Anolis sagrei: one gene and its partner. The protein of the gene in region 1 purifies or fractionates together with the protein of each later gene. This does not show direct contact. Links are inferred from orthologs where the notes say so. Each region holds a gene or a part of one and is shown on either strand. Other genes may lie near its edges.

What was found.
Region 2: the proteins of PAXIP1 (region 1) and PAGR1 purify together in Homo sapiens (affinity purification with mass spectrometry; 6 studies listed by BioGRID and IntAct, with this or other methods). This does not show direct contact. The link is inferred for Anolis sagrei from reciprocal best matches to the Homo sapiens genes PAXIP1 and PAGR1.

The regions. Positions count from the first base shown.
Region 1 is NC_090026.1:120,426,275-120,437,439, forward strand, and holds the start of PAXIP1 (PAX-interacting protein 1), read left to right. Parts: upstream 1-5,939; 5' UTR 5,940-6,125; coding exon 6,126-6,272; intron 6,273-11,165.
Region 2 is NC_090026.1:17,131,080-17,142,444, reverse strand, and holds the start of PAGR1 (PAXIP1-associated glutamate-rich protein 1), read left to right. Parts: upstream 1-5,909; 5' UTR 5,910-6,190; intron 6,191-11,005; 5' UTR 11,006-11,007; coding exon 11,008-11,365. Other genes in the region: kinesin-like protein KIF22, read right to left, coding at 1-13, 135-262, 1,458-1,657. UniProt on the Homo sapiens protein: Its association with the histone methyltransferase MLL2/MLL3 complex is suggesting a role in epigenetic transcriptional activation. However, in association with PAXIP1/PTIP is proposed to function at least in part independently of the MLL2/MLL3 complex.

The DNA of each region.
Region 1 (11,165 bases):
CAGTGCCTTTACAATTCCCAATATTCCATAGCACTGAGTCATGGCAGTTAAAGTGGTATCAACTGCATTAATTCCAGTGTGTAGATGCACCCACTATTCCAAAACTGCTCTTAAAGTGTTGGGAGGAAACTAGCTAAGTTCTCAATTAAACATTTAGTAGTAGTAGTAGTAGTAGTAGTAGTACCACTTTATTTACATTCCAATCAATGTCGAGGGAACTCAGAGCGGATTACAACATACACAGACAGGCAAGCATTCAATGCCTTTAATACAGTGGAATAACAATGACATACAAATACACAGAACAAAGGTAACGGCTTCTCCTTTCATCTCCGGCTTTTGGAGGCAATGCTCCATTCTGGCCATGGGGAGGTGCTCTTTTTCCATTTCCAAGCCAAGGAGCTTGTTGCCCATAGATATCTCCTGGTTGAGTTACCTACAGTGAGTTGCCGGCATGGCTGCATGGGTGCCTCTATTACCTTCCTGCCGAAGCAGTACCTATTGATAAACTCACATTTGTATGCTTTCGAACTGCTAGGTTGGCAGGAGCTAGGGCTAACAAGGGGAGCTCACCCTGATCTGCGGCTTTGAACTGCCAACCTTTAGGTCAGCAGATTCAACAAGGTAAAAGTTAACACTACTGCCATTGACTTCAGGAAGAGGAAATTACAAATTCTGTGCAGAACAAAAAGCTTTTTCCAGTTTGGAAAAATGAATTGCAGAAAGGTTTTTAAGATGTGTAGAAATTTTCAAAGGAGATTTAAATACATATGTATTCAAAAAATGTGAATACAGAAAACTGGGTGCTGCAATAAAAAACCAGCTAAAATACATGGAAGTTTTGATGTTGTCATCTCCCACATCTTTTACTTTTGAGACAAGCAGAAAGCTTATCAGTTACTGAATGAGTCTCGTACAATTTATCACATTATTCAACTAAAGCGTGGGTTTCTTCTACTTTTCAATAGAAGATTGTGACAGCGCAACTGGCGCCACCTATATGTAGAACTGTAAGTTGCAGGATTTGAACTGTTGTATCATGCCTGATTTTGCCTTTTTACCCTGTAAATGTATAGTTGGGTTGATTGGTTATTTATAGCTGTCAATCAATGTTGTTTGCACCAGTTGAATTACTCCTCCTGCTCAATTGTTTGACCCCACCTCTTCCTAGAGAGCAGGACAGTGTTTCCTTTTTCATTCCATCATCAGATTTTCTACCAGATGGACGTGAGTAAGAGACGTGGCTCTAAAAGCCCCTGATTAAGTTACCTCTCAGCACCAATTCTGAGGTTTTTACCCTTGAGACTTATGCTTCATGTTCAGATCAACCTGAATGACGTGGGGAAGTCTCAAGCGCCTTCAAACCAGTTCTTCTGGCACCAGAGGAAGACTTTGTGTCTTCAAACATAGACCATTTGGACTGGGGTTGTGGATTGCTCTGGCATTCACAGCCATTGAGAAAGAGGGACTTGGAAAAGCTTCTCAGCTGCAAAACTCCTTGGACCTAAGACAACCAGAGACTGTAATGTATATTTTCCTTCACCCCTTTGAAACTTCCAGCTTATTGCCTTAAAGAGATAACTCTTTGTGAACAATTAAACCTATTTTGAGTTATCTACAGTGTTTTGGTCTTTGGGAGTTCCAGTTTCCTAAAGGAGAGCAAGAAGCAATCTCCTGGGGAAAGATGTCACGTCCATGCCTCTTTCACTAAGAGTTATAGCCTCCAGGCACGACAGCACAAAGATAATGTAAAGGTTTCCTAGGCAAATTTGTCATAATATTTAGATTCAAAAGAAATGGGTTGCAGCTCAGAGAATAGTAAAAGTTGGTCTTCATGTCTCACTTATTTAAAATATAAGGACTCTTCTTTTTCCTCGCTCATTATAACTCTTGACTTCTATTTGTTGGTTTTTTCTGCCCCTTTTCTTTGTTCTGGTCTTATTAAATATCCATTCCTCCTGATGGAATTAAACTTTGTTCTGAGATCGCTATCATAATTGGCCAAGAAGTGAAGTTTCGGCTCAGATTGACACTTTATTAATGGGATTTTCCTCCATGATTTATACATCCGCAGAGCCCTGACCTGCCTTGGTTAACATCTGATGCTTTAAAGAGGCTTGTCAGGTTGATGGGATTTTAAATATCAAATGGATCTCTTATTTCCCCTGATTTGTCATGCTGAATAAATACTGGGAGACAAAAGGGCTTTATTCCAACACTGGCGTTGGCCTTATCAGGTTAATTTTTAATTTTTTTTTTTTTTGCTCATGCAAAATTATTAGCCACCAGAAAAATTAATATTTAATTTTTTTTTTACAATGGAGAGAAAGCATAACATTGCTTTCAGGCAATTGCATCATGCATTTTGGATTGAGGGTGCTTCTACACTATAGAATTAATGCAGTTTGACACCACTTTAACTGCCATGGCTCAATGCTTTGAGAGCATGGGAGTAATAGTTTTTTAAGGTCTTGCATCTTCTCTGCAAAAGGATGTTGGTTCTTGAAACCACAGCATTGAGACATGGCCATTAAAATTGTGTCAAACTGGGTTAATTCTACAGTGTAGATGTACCTGGGAATTTATTTACTTATTATTATTATTATTATTTGCATGGGCAGACCTATGCCAAACAGGGCAGGCATACTCGGCAGTTGAGTAACACAAGGCTAGGGGTGATGTTCTTACTAATTTTGGGTCTGCACCCCATGTGCTGCCAGTAAGTTTCTGCAAGGTGTTTTTGCGTGCAGCTACTTTGTGCTTGGTGTTCAGGCAGTGTTTCCTATATGCTAGTGTTCAATCTAAGGTGACACCGAGATATTTAGGATGGAAACAATGTTCAAGCTCTTAACCTTCCCAGGTGACTTTCAATTTCCTGTTGGCTTCACGGTTGCGTATATAAATAAATCAATAAATAAATATTATTTATATAATATAGATTATTGCAATGCGCTCTACGTGGGGTTGCCTTTGAAGACAGCCCGGAAGCTTGAAATGGTCCAGCGTGCGGCAGCCAGGTTGTTAACAGGAGCGGAGCGCAGGGAGCATACAACTCCTCTGCTGCATCAGCTCCACTGGCTGCCAGTTTGCTACCGGGCTCAATTCAAAGTGCTGGCTTTAGCCTATGAAGCCCTAAACGGTTCCGGCCCAGCTTATCTATCCAAACGCAACTCTTCCTATGAATCCTCCAGGAACTTGAGATCGTCTGAGGAGGCCCTGCTCTCGATCCCGCCTCCTTCGCAAGTACGTCTGGCGGGGACGAGAGACAGGGCCTTCTCCGTGGTGGCCCCTCGGCTGTGGAACTCCCTACCTAGGGATATTAGATTAGCCCCCTCCCTCCTGACCTTTCCTAAAAGAGTAAAAACTTGGCTCTTCGAGCAAGCATTTGGAACCTCCGAATAAATAGACAAACTTGAATCAGAAAATGACCCAGAAACGGACCAAGACGATGGAACGGATGAGGATTTGAATGACAGGACATATATTTTTTAAATTGTTATCATGCGCTGTCTTTACATTTAAATGCACTATAATGTTTCTTTTTTGCTTATCAATGTATATCTTTTTATGGCATCGAAGTGTCCCGACTGTGTATGCCGCCCTGAGTCACCTTCGGGCTGATATGGGTGGGATAGAAATAATGTAAATAAATAAATAAATAAATAATATTATATAAAATATTATTTAATATTATTAGTAGCATTATATTGTATCACATTAGAATATATATATATATATATATATATATATATATATATGCTGTCGCACGCTGGCCCTGTGCATAAGACTGTAGACAGAACATAAATTCTGTGTGCCCAACGGGACGCCAGGGCTGCCTCAGATTAAAGGCCCTTGGATTTCCTTAAAACAAAGTCTTTAGATTGCTTAAAGGTTCAACAAAGTTCTTTATTAATGAAAACAAACAGGTATTTCAAGGCTTTCTTAACAGTCTATTGGCTCTCTCTCAATCTTGTCCACAGGGAACAGGCACTATCTTCATAACTGTAACTAATGGGGAAATCCTTAACTTCTAATCTGGGCAGTCTGTCTTTGCCTCTGTTGGCATGGAGCCCCTACACCCGGTACCAACTGCTTCTGGCTTCCGCGAGTGACCCTTACCAAGCAGAGCTTTGTAGGCTTCCAGGGTAAAAGAAGGAGTTCAGGTTTCAGTGATGGTTGACTGAAGTCCCTCAGCAAAGGAGCTGTAAGGCTGTACATCTTCCGGCCAAGCTGTGGGGCTGTATATCTCCCCGGCCAAGCTGTAGAAGACAAAGCTTTCTACAGGAGCTCTTGGTATTATGTCCTGCATGGAAAGCTTCTCTGTGTGGACTGAACCCAAACTGGCTCCTTTTCCCTCCAAAAACCCCAAAGGGGGCGGGACCAGGGAACCTAACTATAATTTACAGGTGGCTTGCCCTATGATTGCAGCCAAAAGAAGCCACCTATCTGCAGAGTCCCTGAAACTTAGGACTACCAAACATTAAATGCAAAGCAAACAAAATTGGAGCTCCTGGTGCAGTTGTACCTGCACAATATATATGATATTAGCATTATTATATTGCAATGTTATTGTTTCTATATATTATTATATTGTGCCTATATGTAGTATGTATATTACTGTATTTCTATTAGACAATGGAACAAATTGCAAAAAAAAGTGTATTTTCCTGTTTAATTGTGCAATGGTCACCTTGGAAGTAGCTGTTATATTTCAGAAACTTTCTTTTTTAGGCACAACTATGCTGAATTGGTGGAGACTCTATGTTATGAGGTTGCAAAGCTAGAGCCAAATGTGCTGCAGGATGATGTCTCTCCTGCACAAACAAAGTTTTGGCAGTTTAATAAACTTTCCCCGTGTTTTCATGACAGAACCAATTAGGAGCTGGCATTTATGACCCAGGAACAAAAAGCACAAACACCCTTCCAGACAACCCATAAAATGGGGTCTGTCTGAAATGCGGGGTTTATGATCCCAGGGCCAATTAAGCCCGGAATTGCAGGGACATCCAGCCTTTGAACTGGCCATAAAGCTCACACCTCTGTCTGGCTTGTCTTTTGGGAAACCTCTTAACACCAAACTGCAGCTAGTGCCGCTTTCCCTCCATTTCTACCCCTTTTGTGCGCTTTCCAAAAGATCCTTGGGAGATGTAGTTCGGAAAGACTATCTCCTGCCTTAACAAAAAGACTTTCAGAACTACACTTCCCATAATACCCTTCGAGAGCAATTGACAGCGCAATATCAGCGCTATTCCACCGCCTGGGTGCTTTGGACTTCATTTCCCAGAGTTCCTTGCTGTTGCCCGAGCTGGTTGAGGCCTCTGGGAGTTGGAGTCCAAAACAGACGCGCGAGACGACTCTCCCGAGGCGGGAGATCGTAGGAGGCGGAGCCAAACCATGTGGGCGGGGCCTACGGCTCGGTATCACTACCTAAAGGAGGCGGGATTTGGAAGAGTGCATTATATCTCGAGGGGGGGGTATATCCGAACTTCCCTCATATTCATTTTTGAAAGAAACGCGGGTTCATTTATCAAGCGAGCGGATTATATTACAAAATTAAAATTCTAGTATAGTTTTTCAGTATTATTGAAAAGATAGTAGAGACTGGCTCTTTCTTTTTTAAAATAACTATCTCTCTCCCCCCATCCTTGGAAGAAATGGTTCGCTCCGCAAAAAAAGTAATCAGAGGAGGTGGAGTTGAAAAAAGTGGGCGGGGCTTAGGGCTCGGCCTCACTACCGGTTGTTATTCCTAAAGAGGCGGGAATTGGAAGAGTCCATTTTAACAGGAAGAGGGAGGGAATTAGAAACCCTATCCGCTTTTTTTACAAACTGAGAGATCATTCGTCAAGAAAGTGGATTGTATTAGGAATTATACTTTTTATTATAGTCTGAGAGTGTCCCACCGGAGGTTGTGAAATAGATCAGATTATTTATTTTGAAACTTGTCAGTTTGACTCCCCCCCTTTTTCATCTGATGGTCCGCCCCGCAGCGCGCGCCCTGCTCCCGCGGTTTGGAATGGAATAAGTGCTTGGCGGGGGAGGGGGGCGCGCAAAGAGGGAGAGAGAGAGATCCAGAGCTGCTTTAGAAAGAAGAAGAGCCTAAGAGATTGAAGCAAGTGGACGGAACCATGGCGAAAGAAGAGGGGGAGGGAGAGGAGGAGAAGAAAAATGAAGAGGAGGAAGAGGAGAAGAAGGAGGAGGAGGAAGAGCTGAAGGTTCCCGAGGAGATGTTCAAAGATGTCAAGTTCTTCGTCGTGGGGGACATAGACCCCAAGGTACCTTCGCTTTAATCTCATTTCCCTATCCCACCCCCGTTTGCTTTGACCTCAATGGACTCTTCCACTTGATTCCTTATCTCCCCTCCCCCACGTTCTGCTGCTCTGAGCGCCTCGCGCCTTCTCTCTTTTCGACGGTTCCATTGTCCTTTTTAAAGGGGGGGGGGGAGAAGAAGGAGACACGAATAAGCTTTTAGCTCAACTGACTTGTGTATGTTTTATTATTATTCATTTTAACTGGTGTACTCGTCTTTCATTCGGACGAGCCGAGATACAGAACAAGAGGCGAAACATGACAAGTGTGACGGGGGAAAAGGCACGATGGGTTCCCCCTCTGCTCTGATTGGGTTGACAAGGCAGGTTTCGTCCCCTTTCAGGCGCCCCGCGCATGCGCAGTTCGCTTCCCTGCTGGTGGCTCTTCAGCAGTAGGCCTCTCTGCTTTTTCCTAGCAATGCAATGGAAGCCAATCCCTCACCTGGGATTGGTCACACGGGTAGCCAATGCTGAGATAATAGAGTTCCTCAGGTTCTAGTTTGCATTCATTATACTGTACAGTACAGATCATGAAGATCATGAAGTTCAACCAATGCTGAGATAGTGTTTCTGCAAACACTTAGAAACAAATGCGGTCATTGCTAATAGTCAGCTTACGAAAGCTGACTGGCACAACCTGGGGATCACAACCAGACACAGTGAAGACATCTGCCCTTGCGCTATGCTACTCTGCTGCTGAGTATGCATGCCCAGTATGGAACACATCTCATCACACTAAAACAGTGGTTGTTGTTCATTCGTTCAGTCGTCTCCGACTCTTCGTGACCTCATGGACCAGCCTACGCCAGAGCTCCCTGTCGGCCGTTACCACCCCCAGCTCCCTCAAGGTCAGTCCAGTCACTTCAAGGATGCCATCCATCCATCTTGCCCTTGGTCGGCCCCTCTTCCTTTTGCCTTCCACTTTCCCCAGCATAATTGTCTTCTCTAGGCTTTCCTGTCTCCTCATGATGTGGCCAAAGTACTTCAACTTTGTCTCTAGTATCTTTCCCTCCAGTGAGCAGTCGGGCTTTATTTCCTGGAGGATGGACTGGTTGGATCTTCTCGCAGTCCAAGGCACTCTCAGCACTTTCCTCCAACACCACAGCTCAAAAGCATCGATCTTCCTTCGCTCCGCCTTCCCTAAGGTCCAGCTCTCACATCCATAGGTGACTACAGGGAATACCATGGCTTTGACTAGGCGGATCTTTGTTGCCAGTCTGATGTCTCTACTCTTCACTATTTTATCGAGACTGGACATTGCTCTCCTCCCAAGAAGTAAGCGTCTTCTGATTTCCTGGCCACAGTCTGCATCTGCAGTAATCTTTGCACCTAGAAATACAAAGTCTGTCACGGCCTCCACGGTTTCTCCCTCTATTTTCCAGTTGTCAATCATTCTTGTTGCCATAATCTTGGTTTTTTTGACGTTTAGCTGCAACCCGGCTTTTGCGCTTTCTTCTTTCACCTTGATTAGAAGGCTCCTCAGCTCCTCCTCGCTTTCGGCCATCAGAGTGGTGTCATCTGCATATCTGAGGTTGTTAATGTTTCTTCCAGCAATTTTCACCCCAGCTTTGCATTCATCCAGCCCCGCACATCGCATGATGTGTTCTGCATACAAGTTAAAAAGGTTGGGTGAGAGGATGCAGCCTTGCCGTACGCCTTTCCCAATCTTGAACCAGTCTGTTGTTCCGTGGTCAGTTCTGACTGTTGCTACTTGGTCCTTGTACAGATTCCTCAGGAGAGAGACAAGGTGGCTTGGGATGCCCATCCCACCAAGAACTTGCCACAATTTATTATGATCCACACAGTCAAAGGCTTTAGAATAGTCAATGAAGCAGAAGTAGATGTTTTTCTGAAACTCCCTGCCTTTCTCCATTATCCAGCGGATATTGGTAATCTGGTCTCTCGTTCCTCTGCCTTTTCTAAACCCAGCTTGAACATCTGGCAACTCTCGCTCCATGTATTGCTGGAGTCTTCCTTGCAGGATCTTGAGCATTACCTTACTGGCATGAGAAATAAGGGCCACTGTACGGAAGTTTGAGCAGTCTTTCGCATTTCCCTTTTTTGGTATGGGGATATAAGTTGATTTTTTCCAGTCTGATGGCCATTCTTGTGTTTTCCATATTTGCTGGCAAATGGCATGCATCACCTTGACAGCATCATCTTTTAAGATTTTAAACAGTTCAGCTGGGATCCCATCATCTCCTGCTGCCTTGTTGTTAGCAATGCTTCTTAAGGCCCATTCAACCTCACTCCTCAGGATGTCTGGTTCTAATTCATTCACCACACCGTCAAAGCTATCCTCGATATTGTTATCCTTCCTATACAGATCTTCTGTATAGTCTCGCCACCTTCTCTTGATCTCTTCAGCTTCTGTTAGGTCCCTGCCATCTTTGTTTCTTATCATACCAATTTTTGCCTGAAATTTACCTCCAATGTTTCTAATTTTCTGGAAGAGGTCTCTTGTCCTTCCTATTCTGTTGTCTTCTTCCACTTCCATGCATTGCTTGTTTAAAAATAGTTCCTTCTCTCTTCTGGCTAACCTCTGGAATTGCGCATTTAACTGGGCATATCTCCCCTTACTATCCGTGTTTCCTTTTGCTTTCCTCCTTTCTTGGACTACTTCCAGTGTCTCAGCAGACAACCATTTTGCCTTCTTGGTTTTCTTTTTCTTTGGGACGTACTTTGTTGCCGCCTCCTGAACAATGTCGCGGACTTCTGTCCATAGTTCTTCTGGGACTCTGTTTACTAAATCTAGTCCTTCAAATCTGTTCTTCACTTCCACTGTATATTCGCTAGGAATGTTAGTGAGATCATATCTAACTGGTCTGTGTATTTTCCCTGATCTCTTTAGTTTTATTCTAAATTGGGCAATAAGAAGTTCGTGATCTGAGCTACAGTCAGCCCCAGGTCTTGTTTTCACCGACTGGATGGATGTCCGCCACCTTTGGCTGCAAAGGATGTAGTCAATCTGATTTCGGTGTTGACCATCTGGTGAGGTCCATGTATAAAGCCGTCTTTTAGGTTGTTGGAAGAGAGTATTCGTTATACACAGCGAGTTTTCCTGGCAGAATTCTATCAGCCTGCGTCCCGCTTCATTTTGTTCTCCCAGACCATGCTTGCCTGTGATCCCAGTTGTCATTTGACTTCCCACCTTGGCATTCCAGTCTCCTGTAATGAAAATAATGTCTCTTTTTGGTGTATTATCCAGTAGGTCCTGCAGATCCTCATAGAACTGATCTACTTCTGCTTCTTCAGCAGCTGTGGTTGGGGCATATATTTGGATCACTGTGATGTTGAAAGGCTTTCCTTGCACTCGAATTGAGATCATTCTGTCATTTTTTGGGTTGTATCCAAGCACCGCTTTAGCGAATTTCTTATTAATTATGAAGGCTACTCCATTTCTTCGATGTTCCTCTTGTCCGCAGTAGTAGATCTGGTGGTCATCTGATGTGAAGTGGCCCATTCCAGTCCATTTCAGTTCGCTGACCCCCAGAATGTCTATCTTTAGTCTTGACATCTCACCAATAACAACATCCAATTTGCCCTGGCTCATAGATCTTACATTCCAGGTTCCTATGGTGTGTTGATCTTTAGAGCATCGGATTCGTCGTTCCCCTCCAGTACCGTCGGCCGCTAGCCTTCCTTTCGGCTTTGAGCTAGCTGCGTCATCACATCTGGGGCTAGTTGAACTTATCCTCTGCTCCTCCCCAGTAGCATTTTGGCCATCTTCCGACCTGGGAGTCCCATCTTCCAATGGCATACCGACATATCTCTGGTTGTACTGGTCCATTTAGTTTTCTTGGCAAGGATACTGGAGTGGTTTGCCATTGCCTTCCCCAGGGATCACGCTTGGTCTGACCTCTCTGCTACAACCGTCCCGTCTTGGGTGGCCCTTCACGGTTTCGCTCATGACATCATTGAGGTGCTCAAGCTCCAGCGCCCCGACAAGGCGGTGATCCTTTGCTGGAAAACAGTGGATGTGGCTCTTAATGAGACATGCCGCATTATCATGGGGTGTCTGCGCCCCACACCACTGGAGAAATTACACTGTCTAGCCAGTATTGCACCACCTGACATCCGCCGGGAAGTAGCAGCCAATAGTGAAAGGACCAAGGCAGAGACATCTCCAGCTCATCCCCAGTTTGGGTATCAGCCAGCACGTCAACGACTTAAATCAAGACATAGTTTTCTTAAGATCTACAGAGACACTCACTGGAACACCCCAGCAAGCGAGAGTCCAAAAGTGGCAGGCCCAAACCCAACACCTCAATTCATGGGTGATACCAGATGAGAGACTCCCCCCTGGGCACTCAGAAGACTGGGCGACTTGGAAGGCACTGAACAGACTGCGCTCTGGCACCACGAGATGCAGAGCCAATCTTAAGAAACGGGGCTACAGGGTGGAATCCTCGGCATGCGAGTGCGGAGAAGAACAAACCACTGACCACCTGCTGCAATGCACCCTGAGCCCTGCCACATGCATGATGGAGGACCTCCTTGCGGCAACCCCAGAGGCACTCCAAGTGGCCAGATACTGGTCAAAGGACATTTAACCAAATACCAAATTTACAAAATCTGTGTGGTTTTTTTTCTTTCTTTTTTTTCTTTTTCTTTTTAATCTCTGTGTTTGTTTTGCTCTGTTAGAATTGTAATACAGTGGTTGCTGATGACACGATAAATAAATAAATTGCTAATAGTCAACATGGATTTATCAAAAACAAGTCATGCCAGACTCATCAGATCTCTTTCTTCGATAGAGCTACAAGCTGGGTAGATGCGGGGAATGCCGTGGATGTAGCGTACCTGGATTTCAGTAAGGCCTTCGACAAGGTCCCCCATGACCTTCTGGCAAGGAAACTA
Region 2 (11,365 bases), about 100 Mb from region 1:
GTATGTGTCTTGCCTACCGAGGAGAAAGAGAATGGTAAGATAGAAGAAAAACAATAAAAAAAAACTTCCCCATGGCCAACTACAAGCCCCAGCCCATTTGGGCTCGTTTCACCTCTGTGGCATTTCATATTTACCTGCTCCAGTGGGGCCATAAGCCAGAATGCTGGCATTTTGCCCCTCCAGCAAATGGCGCAAGATAGGCTGAACTGACCCCATGTAGATGTCATGTTGAGTGGCTGATTCTCCATAAAAAGCATCAAACCTTTGGGGGAGAGAAAAGTATATTTTGGGTTGAACTTGTGACTTATTTTCAGCCACTATTCAGGTTTTTTTAGAGATTGTGGAGGAAAGCACACTATGTTTTGAAACCTGCTAGAAGAAAAAATGTAACAAAACCTCCAAAATCTCAATGGAATTCAAGGGGCTTTAGAGATAGTACATCGAGGCCCTATGGTCTTTGGCTGCACCTTCCACAATCCTAAGCTCTAGAGCAGTGGATCCCAACCTTTGGTCCTCCAGGTGTTTTGAACCTCAGCTCCCATAATTCCTAACAGCTTGTAAACTGGCTGAGATTTCTGGGGACCTGAAGTCCAAAACAACTGGAGAACACAAGGTTGAGACCACTGCTTTTGTTCATTAGAAATAAATGCGGGGGATCTCAATATAGTTATTTTTTGCACCCATGAGCGGCATGTAGAACAGTATCGAGTAGAGGACTTTTAGCACCTTCCATGTGAAACACAAACTGTAGACTCTCGCCAGTTGGCTCCTGGGAACCAAAATGTTGCAAGGATACACAATCCATACTGACAATATGTCCTACTGCCAGACAGACACAGAAGCTAGACTGTGCATGTAGTCCTGTCTGTAATGTGAAATCAATGGAGAAAATTATATTTTTAATGATAAAACGTAAATGTTTTGCATGTTTAAATTGTGAAACTACCATGTTTCATCAATATTTTTGTCATTTTACCAAATACAGCACATACCTGTGAGATGAAATTTAGGATTCTCCCTTGACCTTCACATTTCAAAGGTGCTCCATGACTAAAAATGTTTGAGAACCCCTGTTCCAGAGCAATGGGTTGCCTAGCTTTATGGCTTTCACCTGATCTCCAGAAAAGTCATTACCATGCTTTTGGCCACTACAGCTGCTTTTTCCTGAGCCAATGGTTGGGAAGTCTTGCAAACACTTGCAAGACTTCCCAGCTATCACATACCTCATTTTCTTGTGCAAGCAAAGAAAGATGGAAATGATAAATGAGCTGTACAGTTCCTAAGGTAAGGTTTTAATTCACTGGAGTTCTTGGGAATGAGAGCAGGGAGAAGGTGAGACTATTTTGCCAATATCTTGGCAATGCCAATATTATGGAACCTGTCTCAATCCAAAGCGAGTTCCCCCATGTCCACCAAAACATGACAGACTCAGATCAAGAAATCTCTGTCCACCTTACTTGTATTTCATTGTCTCCATCTCGTTCCTCCAGTTAAGGATCTCCAAGGAATGGGAGTCCACACCACGGACACATGGGGCATCTTGACCCTGTCCAGTTCCCACTGCCGGGCGCAATCGCACACACACTCGTACTCTATGTGGTGCATTGGCAGAGTCTCGGTGGACGGTAGTCCGTCTTAATTGCTGATGAGTTGTCATGAACACCTATAAGTAAAACAAAAGTACTTGAAAGAGCAAGGAGACTGACATCAGCCTGGATACATTCCAATAAATATCATAATTCTTGCTCCCCCCCCTCCCAAATCATTTGACACAGGGCGAATAATGCATGCAGATCTGAGTAGGGTGGCCTTTTGCAGCTGACAGATGGTAATTTTGTCAGCCTTATTATCCTGGGTGATGACCGAGCCAGTATAGACTTCTTTAGAGTTTGTTTCACTATATGTAAATTGGTTGGGTGCACTTAGCCCTGCTTCTCAGTTGAGACCACTCTGGCTTGGTTGAATCTACTGGTAATTTGCACTACTGCCAGCACAGTTCTCAACCTCAAAGAAGCAGTTAAGCCCCCTGCCAATAACAAGGCGGCATGGGCTTCCAATTTCTATTATCCTTATCGTCTGCCTATTAGGGAATTCTCCCAAAAATAACAGAGCATCCAAAACAACAAACTTAACTGAGAAGTCAGCTCACAGCAAGCAGAAAGATGAACTGTTGTGAGGCTAAAAACTATTTTGAGATTAGCAGGCAAAGAGGCAGAGTTCAATTTTTACCCAAAAGGTGTATTTACATCAGGGATCCTCAAACAAAGGCCCGAGGGCCGAATATAGCCCTCCAAGGTCATTTACCTGTCCCTTGCTCAGGGTTGGCCTAAGTCTGAAATGACTTGAAAGCACACAACAACAATCCTATCTCATCAGCCAAATCAGGCCCACACCTCCCATTGAAATACTAATAAGTTTATATTTGTTAAAATTGTTCATTTTAATTATTGTATTGTTTTAAGTGTTTTTTTACACTACAAATAAGATATGCGCAGTGTGCATAGGAATTCATTCATGTTTTTTTCAAATTATAATCCAGCCCTTGAACTATTTGAGGGACTGTAACCTGGCCTTGATTTTAAAAAGTTTGAGGGCCCCTGATTTACATATAAGAACAACATTTCTTGATAGGAAAGAATTGGATCTAAACAAGTTCCACCTTATCTCCTGCATATGTCATCAGCTGGGGACCTCTCCTCCCAGCACCAACTGCTGCTCTGGGCCAGAGTGAAAGGGGGGGCAGAGGATAGTTCCATCTTGTCTCCTACATATGTCATCAGTTGGGGACCCCTCCCCCTGTACCAACTGCTGCTCTGGGCCAGAGTGAAGTGAGAGGGGGCAGAAGACAGTTCCACCTTCTCTCCTGTGCTATTCTAATAATATAATGTAATGCAATATAATACTAATAATATATTATTAGAATTATATATTTATACTAAATGACTCTTGGGGGTCCCTTTGAACTCTAGGAGTCTATTATTATTATTATTATTATTATTATTATTATTATTATTACTAGCTGTCCCCTGCCACGCATTGCTGTGGCTCAGTCTGTGTATATGTGCTTTGTGTGTGTGTATATATTTGTGTAATAATAATAATAATAATAATACTTTATTTGTACCCCGCTACCATCTCCCCAAGGGACTCAGTGTGGCTTACATGAGGCCAAGCCCACAGCACATCAATAAACAAAAGCAATAACAAATAATCAATACAAACAGTTGAAATAAAACTCAAAAACAAAAAAACACACAATAAGCAATTGTGTATATATGTGTGTTTGTGTATATATGTGGTTTTGTGCATGAATTGAAATGTATTTTTTTATTTTGTTGGCTTTTTAAGTCTCTTCTGCTGTGTTTTTTTTTTAGTGTTTTTATGCGTGATGGTCACTCGTTGGCCTGAGAGATGTATTGTGTCCAAAATTGGTGTCAATTCGTCCAGTGGTTTTTGAGTTATTATTATTATTATTATTATTATTATTATTAACTTTATTTGTACCCCGCTAGCATCTCCCGGAGGACTCGATGCGGCTTACACAGGCCGAAGCCTCAAAACACAATACAATAGAGAATGTAACATCACAACAACAAAGCAAATCAAACAATAAGCAAAATAACATAACACTAGGCAATACTAAGCAATACTAAGCAAATCAAACAATAAGCAAAATAACAACAGTGGCAGTACATCAAGACATTATTAAAAACTGGATCGGCCGGCGCACTGTTATGTAAAAAAGTTATGTTAATCCCACAAACGAACAGAGCATTTTTATTTATATAGATTACATGTAATCTTACTAAAAATATTCCAATATAATGGTATAGTACAATATAGTAATATTGAATACTGATATTGTACTATGCTAATAATATAATATATTGTATGTATATATATCTTGTAAGCCGCTCTGAGTCCCCTTCGGAGTGAGAAGGGTGGCATATAAATGTTGTAAATAAATAAATCGTCAACGACTTAAATCTAGAAATAGTTTTCTAAGTTCTACAGAGACACTCACTGGAACACCTCAGCAAGTGAGAGTCCAAAAGTGGCAGGCTCAAACCCAGAACCTCAACCAATGGCTGACACCAAATGAGAGACTCCCCCCTGGGAACACAGAAAACTGGGCGACTTGGAAGGCACTGAACAGACTGCGCCCTGGCACCACAAGATGCAGAGCCAACCTCAAGAAATGGGGCTACAGGGTGGAATCCACGACATGCGAGTGTGGAGGAGAGCAAACTACAGACCACCTGCTGCAATGCAACCTGAGCCCTGCCACATGCACAATGGAGGACCTTCTTGCAGCAACACCAGAAGCACTCCAAGTGGCCAGATACTGATCAAAGGAGATTGAATCAACTATCAAACTCACAAATTTTGTATTTTGTCTGTTTGTTTGCTTTGTTCTGTTAGAAATGTAATATAATTGACTGGTTGCCCTGACACGACAAATATTTATTATTTATTATTATTTATTTACCTTACTTATATACCGCTGTTCTCAGCCCGAAGGCGACTCACAGCGGTTCACAACAAATACAAACAGCGAAAATTCAGTGCTACAGTATAGAAACAGTAACAACCTAACACATTACACAATTAATAAACAGTTACTACAATACCCATTCACTGTCGTCTCGTCATCAAAAACATGTTCCAGATTCGTCATCCATTGTTCCATTCCAGTGTTCATTAACCAATCATTGCACTAATTATTCGAACACCTGCTCAAACAGCCAGGTCTTCACTTTTTTTGCGGAATACCATTAGAGATGGTGCTAGTCTAATGTCTGTAGGAAGGGCGTTCCACAGCCGAGGAGCCACCACCGAGAAGGCCCTATCTCTCGTCCCCGCCAGCCATGATTGAGAAGCAGGCCCTGCTCTCGATCCCGCCTGCTTCTCAAGCATGGCTGGCGGGGACGAGAGATAGGGCCTTCTCGGTGGTGGCTCCTCGGCTATGGAACGCCCTTCCTACGGACATTAGACTAGTACCATCTCTAATGGTATTCCGCAAAAAAGTGAAGACCTGGTGGGTTCATAGGCAGAGATGCGGTTGGATAGGTAGCTTGGGCCGGGACCGTTTAGGGCTTTATTTATCTTGTCAGCTGCTCTGAGTCCCCTTTGGGGTGAGAAGGGCGGCATATAAATGTTGTAAATAAATACATTTCTCTAGAACTCCATAACTTCTAATTTCCAAAACACATCTCTCCAAACACATCTCTTCAAACATACAAAGTAGAGAGAGTCTGAGTGCAAAGATGAAATGCAGAAGACTTCAGCAAAGGCATGCAACCTGAAGAGTATCAATTCTACACCACCAATCAGGATGGGAGCAGAAAAAGATAGAGAGAGAACAGAAAGATACAATCCAACTGCCTTTCAGGAGTCAGGGGGGAAGCCTATTCTAAAACTAACTGTTCCTCATTGAGGACTGCAGACTTGGGCAGTGTGGGGGTTGAATTCCAACACTGCCAATCAGGAGAAAGGCCTACCCGCCTCCTCTCTCCCACTCAGAAGGAAATACCTGTGATTCCAAACAAAACAGATGGCGCAGGAAGATCCTCTCACAATAGATAGGCCGCACTGTTCCCTCTTTAACTCTGAGCCGATTCCTTCCTTACACAAAAATGGATTCAGGAAATCGTTTGGAATTCGCGCTAGTCCCGCCCTAAAGAAAAAACCGGCCAATGGGAGGAAGGCACGGGAAACAGCCGTTAGCCAACACGCCTGCGCAGTGTGAAGACAGAGCACGGAGGGAAGTACCGCGCACGCGCACTACTTCCGAAGGCTCTTCCGAGGCACTGTATACGAAATGTTGTGGAGGAGTGGTTCACAAGACGGATAGCGCATGCGCAGAAGGAAAGAAGCGAGTCGTGCGTGTTTCAAATCTAGCGCATGCGCCATCGCGAAGGAGGGTCGGCTCTTGAGTTCGATTGGGTTCTCTCGTCGAGAAGGAGCCATCGATTGTTTCGGGGCTCGGCTTTTGTGGGCTGGATGGTTGGTTGTTTGGAAGCAAGGGATCTGTGATGCCCAAGTAGACTCTGATCATGTGCAGAGTGCTTCTAAAGAAACCCTAAAAGGACAGAAGGGATGCAGCCGTGTTAAGCAATTAAGCCTTCCCAGGGGTTGATTTCAGACAGGAAAGTAACTTCCACAACACAGTGAAGTGGCTCACTCCCAGGTAAGTGTGGCTGCCAGTAGAGATGTCCTGATGGTTTCCATTGAAGCAGGTGTGTTTCAGTTACCTGGATTGTGCTCAGAATTAAGCTTTCATAGAATCCTAGAGTTGGAAGGGACCTCATGGGCCATCCAGTCCAACTCCCTGCCAAAAAGCAGGAATATTGCATTCAAATCACCCCTGACAGATGGCCATCCAGCCTCTGTTTAAAAGCCTCCAAAGAAGGAGCCTCCACCACACTCCGGGGCAGAGAGTTCCACTGCTGAACAGCTCTCACAGTCAGGAAGTTCTTCCTCATGTTCAGATGGAATCTCCTTTCTTGTAGTTTGAAGCCATTGTTGCACTGTGCCGTAGTCTCCAGAAAACAAGCTTACTCCCTCCTCTCTATGACTTCCTCTCACATATTTATACATGGCTATCATGTCTCCTCTCAGCCTTCTCTTTTTCAGGCTAAACATGCCCAGCTTCTTAAGCCGCTCCTCATAGGGCTTGTTCTCCAGACCCTTGATCATTTTAGTCGCCCTCCTCTGGACACATTCCAGCTTGTCAATATCTCTCTTGAATTGTGGTGCCCAGAATTGGACACAATATTCCAGGTGTGGTCTAACCAAAGCAGAATAGAGGGGTAGCATTACTTCCTTAGATCTAGACACTATGCTCCTATTGATGCAGGCCAAAATCCCATTGGCTTTTTTTGCTGCCACATCACATTGCTGGCTCATGTTTAACTTGTTGTCCACGAGGACTCCAAGATCTTTTTCACACGTACTGCTCTTGAGCCAGGCATTGTCCCCCATTCTGTATCTTTGCATTTCGTTTTTTCTGCCAAAGTGGAGTATCTTGCATTTGTCCCTGTTGAACTTCGTTTTGTTAGTTTTGGCCAATCATCTCTCTAATCTGTCAAGATCGTTTTGAATCCTGCTCCTGTCCTCTGGAGTATTGGCTATCCCTCCCAATTTGGTGTCATCTGCAAACTTGATGATCATGCCTTCTAACCCTTCATTTAAGTCATTAATAGAGACGTTGAACGGGACCGGGCCCAGGATGGAACCCTGCGGCATTCCACTCTTCACTTCCTTCCAATTACATTGGAAATTACATTTCCAATTACTTTCTTTGGAATTACACTTTTGGGATGAAGAATCAATATTGTGTTTTTAAAAGGGAAGCCATGAGTATCTGCCTCTCAAGATAGTTCTGGTACTGCCAAAACCCTTTTAAACTGGGTTGTTGTAGGTTTTTTCGGGCTATATGGCCATGTTCTAGAGGCATTCTCTCCTGACGTTTCGCCTGCATCTATGGCAAGCATCCTCAGAGGTAGTGAGGTCTGTTGGAACTAGGAAAAAGGGTTTATATATCTGTGGAATGACCAGGGTGAGACAAAGGACTCTTGTCTGCTGGAGCTAGGTATGAATGTTTCAACTGACTACCTTGATTAGCATTTGTTTGCCTGGCAGTGCCTGGAGCAATCGTTTGTTGAGAGGTGATTAGATGTCCTTGTTTGTTTTAAATTCTTTTAAATTCTTGGTTTGTGTACATTTCGCTCCCAGTATCCACAGATGTAGTTATCCACATCTTGAACATTTTTTTAAACCTCAAAAAAGGAAAACCTTCAAGTTGCCAATAAATTTATGGCAGCCCTTTGACTACGTCTACACAGCCATATAATCCAGCTTCTGAATCCTGATAATAATAATAATCTTTATTTATACCCTGCCGCCACCTCCCCAATGGGGACTCGGGGCGGCTTACATGAGGCCAAGCCCAAACAACAAATGACAGCAAAATAAAACCAAAATGAAATAAATAAACAACACCATAATTACATAAAACATAATAATGCATAACAATATAAAATTACAGTAAATATAATCACAGTGACAATGGGCAGGCTACATGTAATGATTAAAAGAAGAGCTAATTAAAAACTGATTAAAAACTCAGGTGAGATAAAGGAGAAACAGGTTATTTGCGGAGGGGGGCTCATTAAAATAAGGGGAGGGGCGATGTAAACTCCAGTGACAAAACTTTGAGGCTAAGCAATAGTGAGAGGTTGTATTGCTTCGAGCTGGATTATGTGGCAGTGTAGACTCCTGTGATCCTCTTCAAATCAGGATATGTGTTGTCGAAGGTTTTCATGGCCGGAATCACTGGGTTGTTGTGAGTTTTCCAGGCTGTATGGCCATGTTCCAGAAGCATTCTCTCCTGACGTTTCACCCACATCTATGGGAGGCATCCTCAGAGGTGGTGCACTGGATTAAACCCTTGGGCTGGCAGGACTGAAGACCGTAATGTTGGGAGGTTCCAATTTGGGGAGAGCGAGGATGAGCTCCCTCTGTCAGCTCCAGCTCCCTATGCGGGGGCATTAGAGAAGCTTCTCCCAAGGATGGTAAAACATCAAAACATCTGGGTGTCCCCAGGGCAATATCCTTGCAGACGACCAATTCTCTCACCCCAGAAGCGACTTACTGTTTCTCAAGTCACTCCTGACACAGAAAAAAAATCCTCAGAGGTTATGAGGAATATTAGAAACTAAGCAAGGGAGGTTTAAATATCTGTGGAAGGTCCAGAGTGGGAGAAAAAACATTTGTCTGTTGGAGGCAAATGTGACTGTTGCACTTAATCACCTTGATTAGCATTACTTTGCTTTGCAACAGACAAGAATTCTTTCTCCCACCCTGGACATTATTCCACAGATATATAAACCTCCATTGCTTAGTTTCCAATATACCTCACAACCTCTGAGGATGCCTGCCATAGATGTGGGCAAAACATCAGAAGAGAATGCTTCTGGAACATAGCCATACAGGCCGGAAAACTCACAACAACCTATAAGTCAGGATGAACTGGATTCAGAAACTGGATTATATGGCAGTGTACATCCAGCCTGTGGCGCTCTTAAGATTTTCTCAGGCAAGGGATACTCAGAGGTGGCTTTGGCTGTTCCTTCCTCTGGATATATAGTATTCAGCAGCCCCTCAATAGAGAAGACTAATACAAACAGTCTCAATAGTATCTGTGGAATCATGGAAATCTTAAGAACCTCTGGCAGTTTTGTGGAACTAAATAATACAGTCAGACTTCCACATGTACTGGGGTGAGGGGCAAGGGACACTCGCAAAACTGAAAAACTGTGAATAATAAAATTGCTGTTTTTAAACCCAACGAATCTCTTGGTCCTCCAACAAGGTCAAATTTAAGACAGATTATACTGCAGGACCTACAGATTCCTAGAATGTCAGTTCTCTAAATCAGAGCTTCTTAAACTTTTTCCATGCACTATCCCTTTTCACCTGATCCCCCCCCCCCCCCCCCGATAAGTATATAAAATAGCATTTACTGGTATTTATTTGTCGTGTCAGGGCAACCAGTCAATTATATTACATTTCTAACAGAACAAAACAAACAAACAGACAAAATACAAAGTTTGTGAGTTTGGTAGTTGATTAAATGTCCTTTGACCAGTATCTGGCCACTTGGAGTGCTTCTGGTGTTGCTGCAAGAAGGTCCTCCCTTGTGCATGTGGCAGGGCTCAGGTTGCATTGCAGCAGGTGGTCAGTGGTTTGCTCTTCTCCACACTCGCATGTCAAGGATTCCACTTTGTAGCCCCATTTCTGAAGGTTGGCTCTGCATCTCGTGGTGCCAGAGCGCAGTCTGTTCAGCGCCTTCCAAGTCGCCCAGTCTTCTGTGTGCCCAGGGGGGAGTCTCTCATTTGGTATCAGCCATTGGTTGAGGTTCTGGGTATGAGCCTGCCACTTTTGGACTCTCGCTTGCTGAGGTGTTCCAGCGAGTGTCTCTGTAGATCTTAGAAAACTATTTCTAGATTTAAGTCGTTGACGTGCTGGCTGATACCCAAACAGGGGATGAGCTGGAGATGTCTCTGCCTTGGTCCTTTAACTATTGGCTGCTACTTCCCGGCGGATGTCAGATGGTGCTAAGCAGTATTTACTGGTGATAAATCAGCATTTGCAAGTCTTGCTGAACAGTCTGATTTTTCTTTCTGTGGTGTACAGCTGAAGCATTTTCTGCAGACACCACTGTAAACATCGCATGTTGCTACGAACAGATTTGTGTAAATAGGTGGCATTCAGAAACCTTTTATGGTTGCCAAATTTTTGTGACCCCAGTATTGAGCCAAGGGGAACTCTTTCGAGGTTGGAACTCCAAAATAGTTTAAGAAGCTATGTTGGAGTCCCAAATAAATTTTCTGAACACCACCTAGTGGTTGTTTTGGGCATTTACATGAATCTCTTGCACAATGTTTACAGTGGACTCCACAGAAAATCCTTCAGCTGTACTTCATAAAAAGAAAGATCGGCTTTGCAAATGCTGATTTCTTACCAGAAAAGGTTTGGTTTTTATACCTATTTTATATACTCATGTACCCAGGATAACATAAAAAGTTCTCAAGTCAAAAGGGGTCCAACGAATAAATAGGGCTGACTGTACTCATGACTTCCGCATCCTGTTGTTTCCCCAGGAAGCAGAGAGTGGAATATATTCTTGAATGAAAAATGGCGGCAATTTTCTTCTTCATTTTTAGTATTGGTACCAATGTGTGTGCATGGTCAAGTCCCATTATATACAGTGGCACACTGGATATGGCTAGCTGACTGTAAATTCTTCAATTGTATTTCTTCAATTGTAAGATCATTGATTGTAGGAAGCACTCTAATTTCAATGCCAGCACCACCACCAACAAAAATAGTTTGTTGTCAAGGCCGCTGCAGTTTGAAGTTAGCTCCGAACTGCATGAAATGATCAGTGTAGACGGGGCCACAGTCAGCCTCTCTCTCTCTCTGCCTCTCTCTTTTGCAGCCATGGAGGAGCCCAGTGCTGTAGAAGAAGGGGAAGTAACCTCAGGCATGCAGTCCTTAGCAGTGGAAGATGGGCCTACGCCAGAACTGGAGGCTCCCTCTGAGGAACAAGATGAGGCACCTGGGGAAGCAGAGGAGGGAGAGCAGTCGGGGAAGGCAGACGATGACTCTGCTGAGGAGGATTGGTGCATCCCTTGCAGCGATGAGGAACTGGACTCCCCCGACAACTGGATGCCTCCCCCCTCAGAGATCCGGCGCCTCTATGAACTCATCGCTGAGCAAGGGACCCTAGAGCTCCAGGCCGAGATCCTGCCAAGACGCAACCCCACTCCAGAACCTGACAGTGAGGATGAGGATAAAT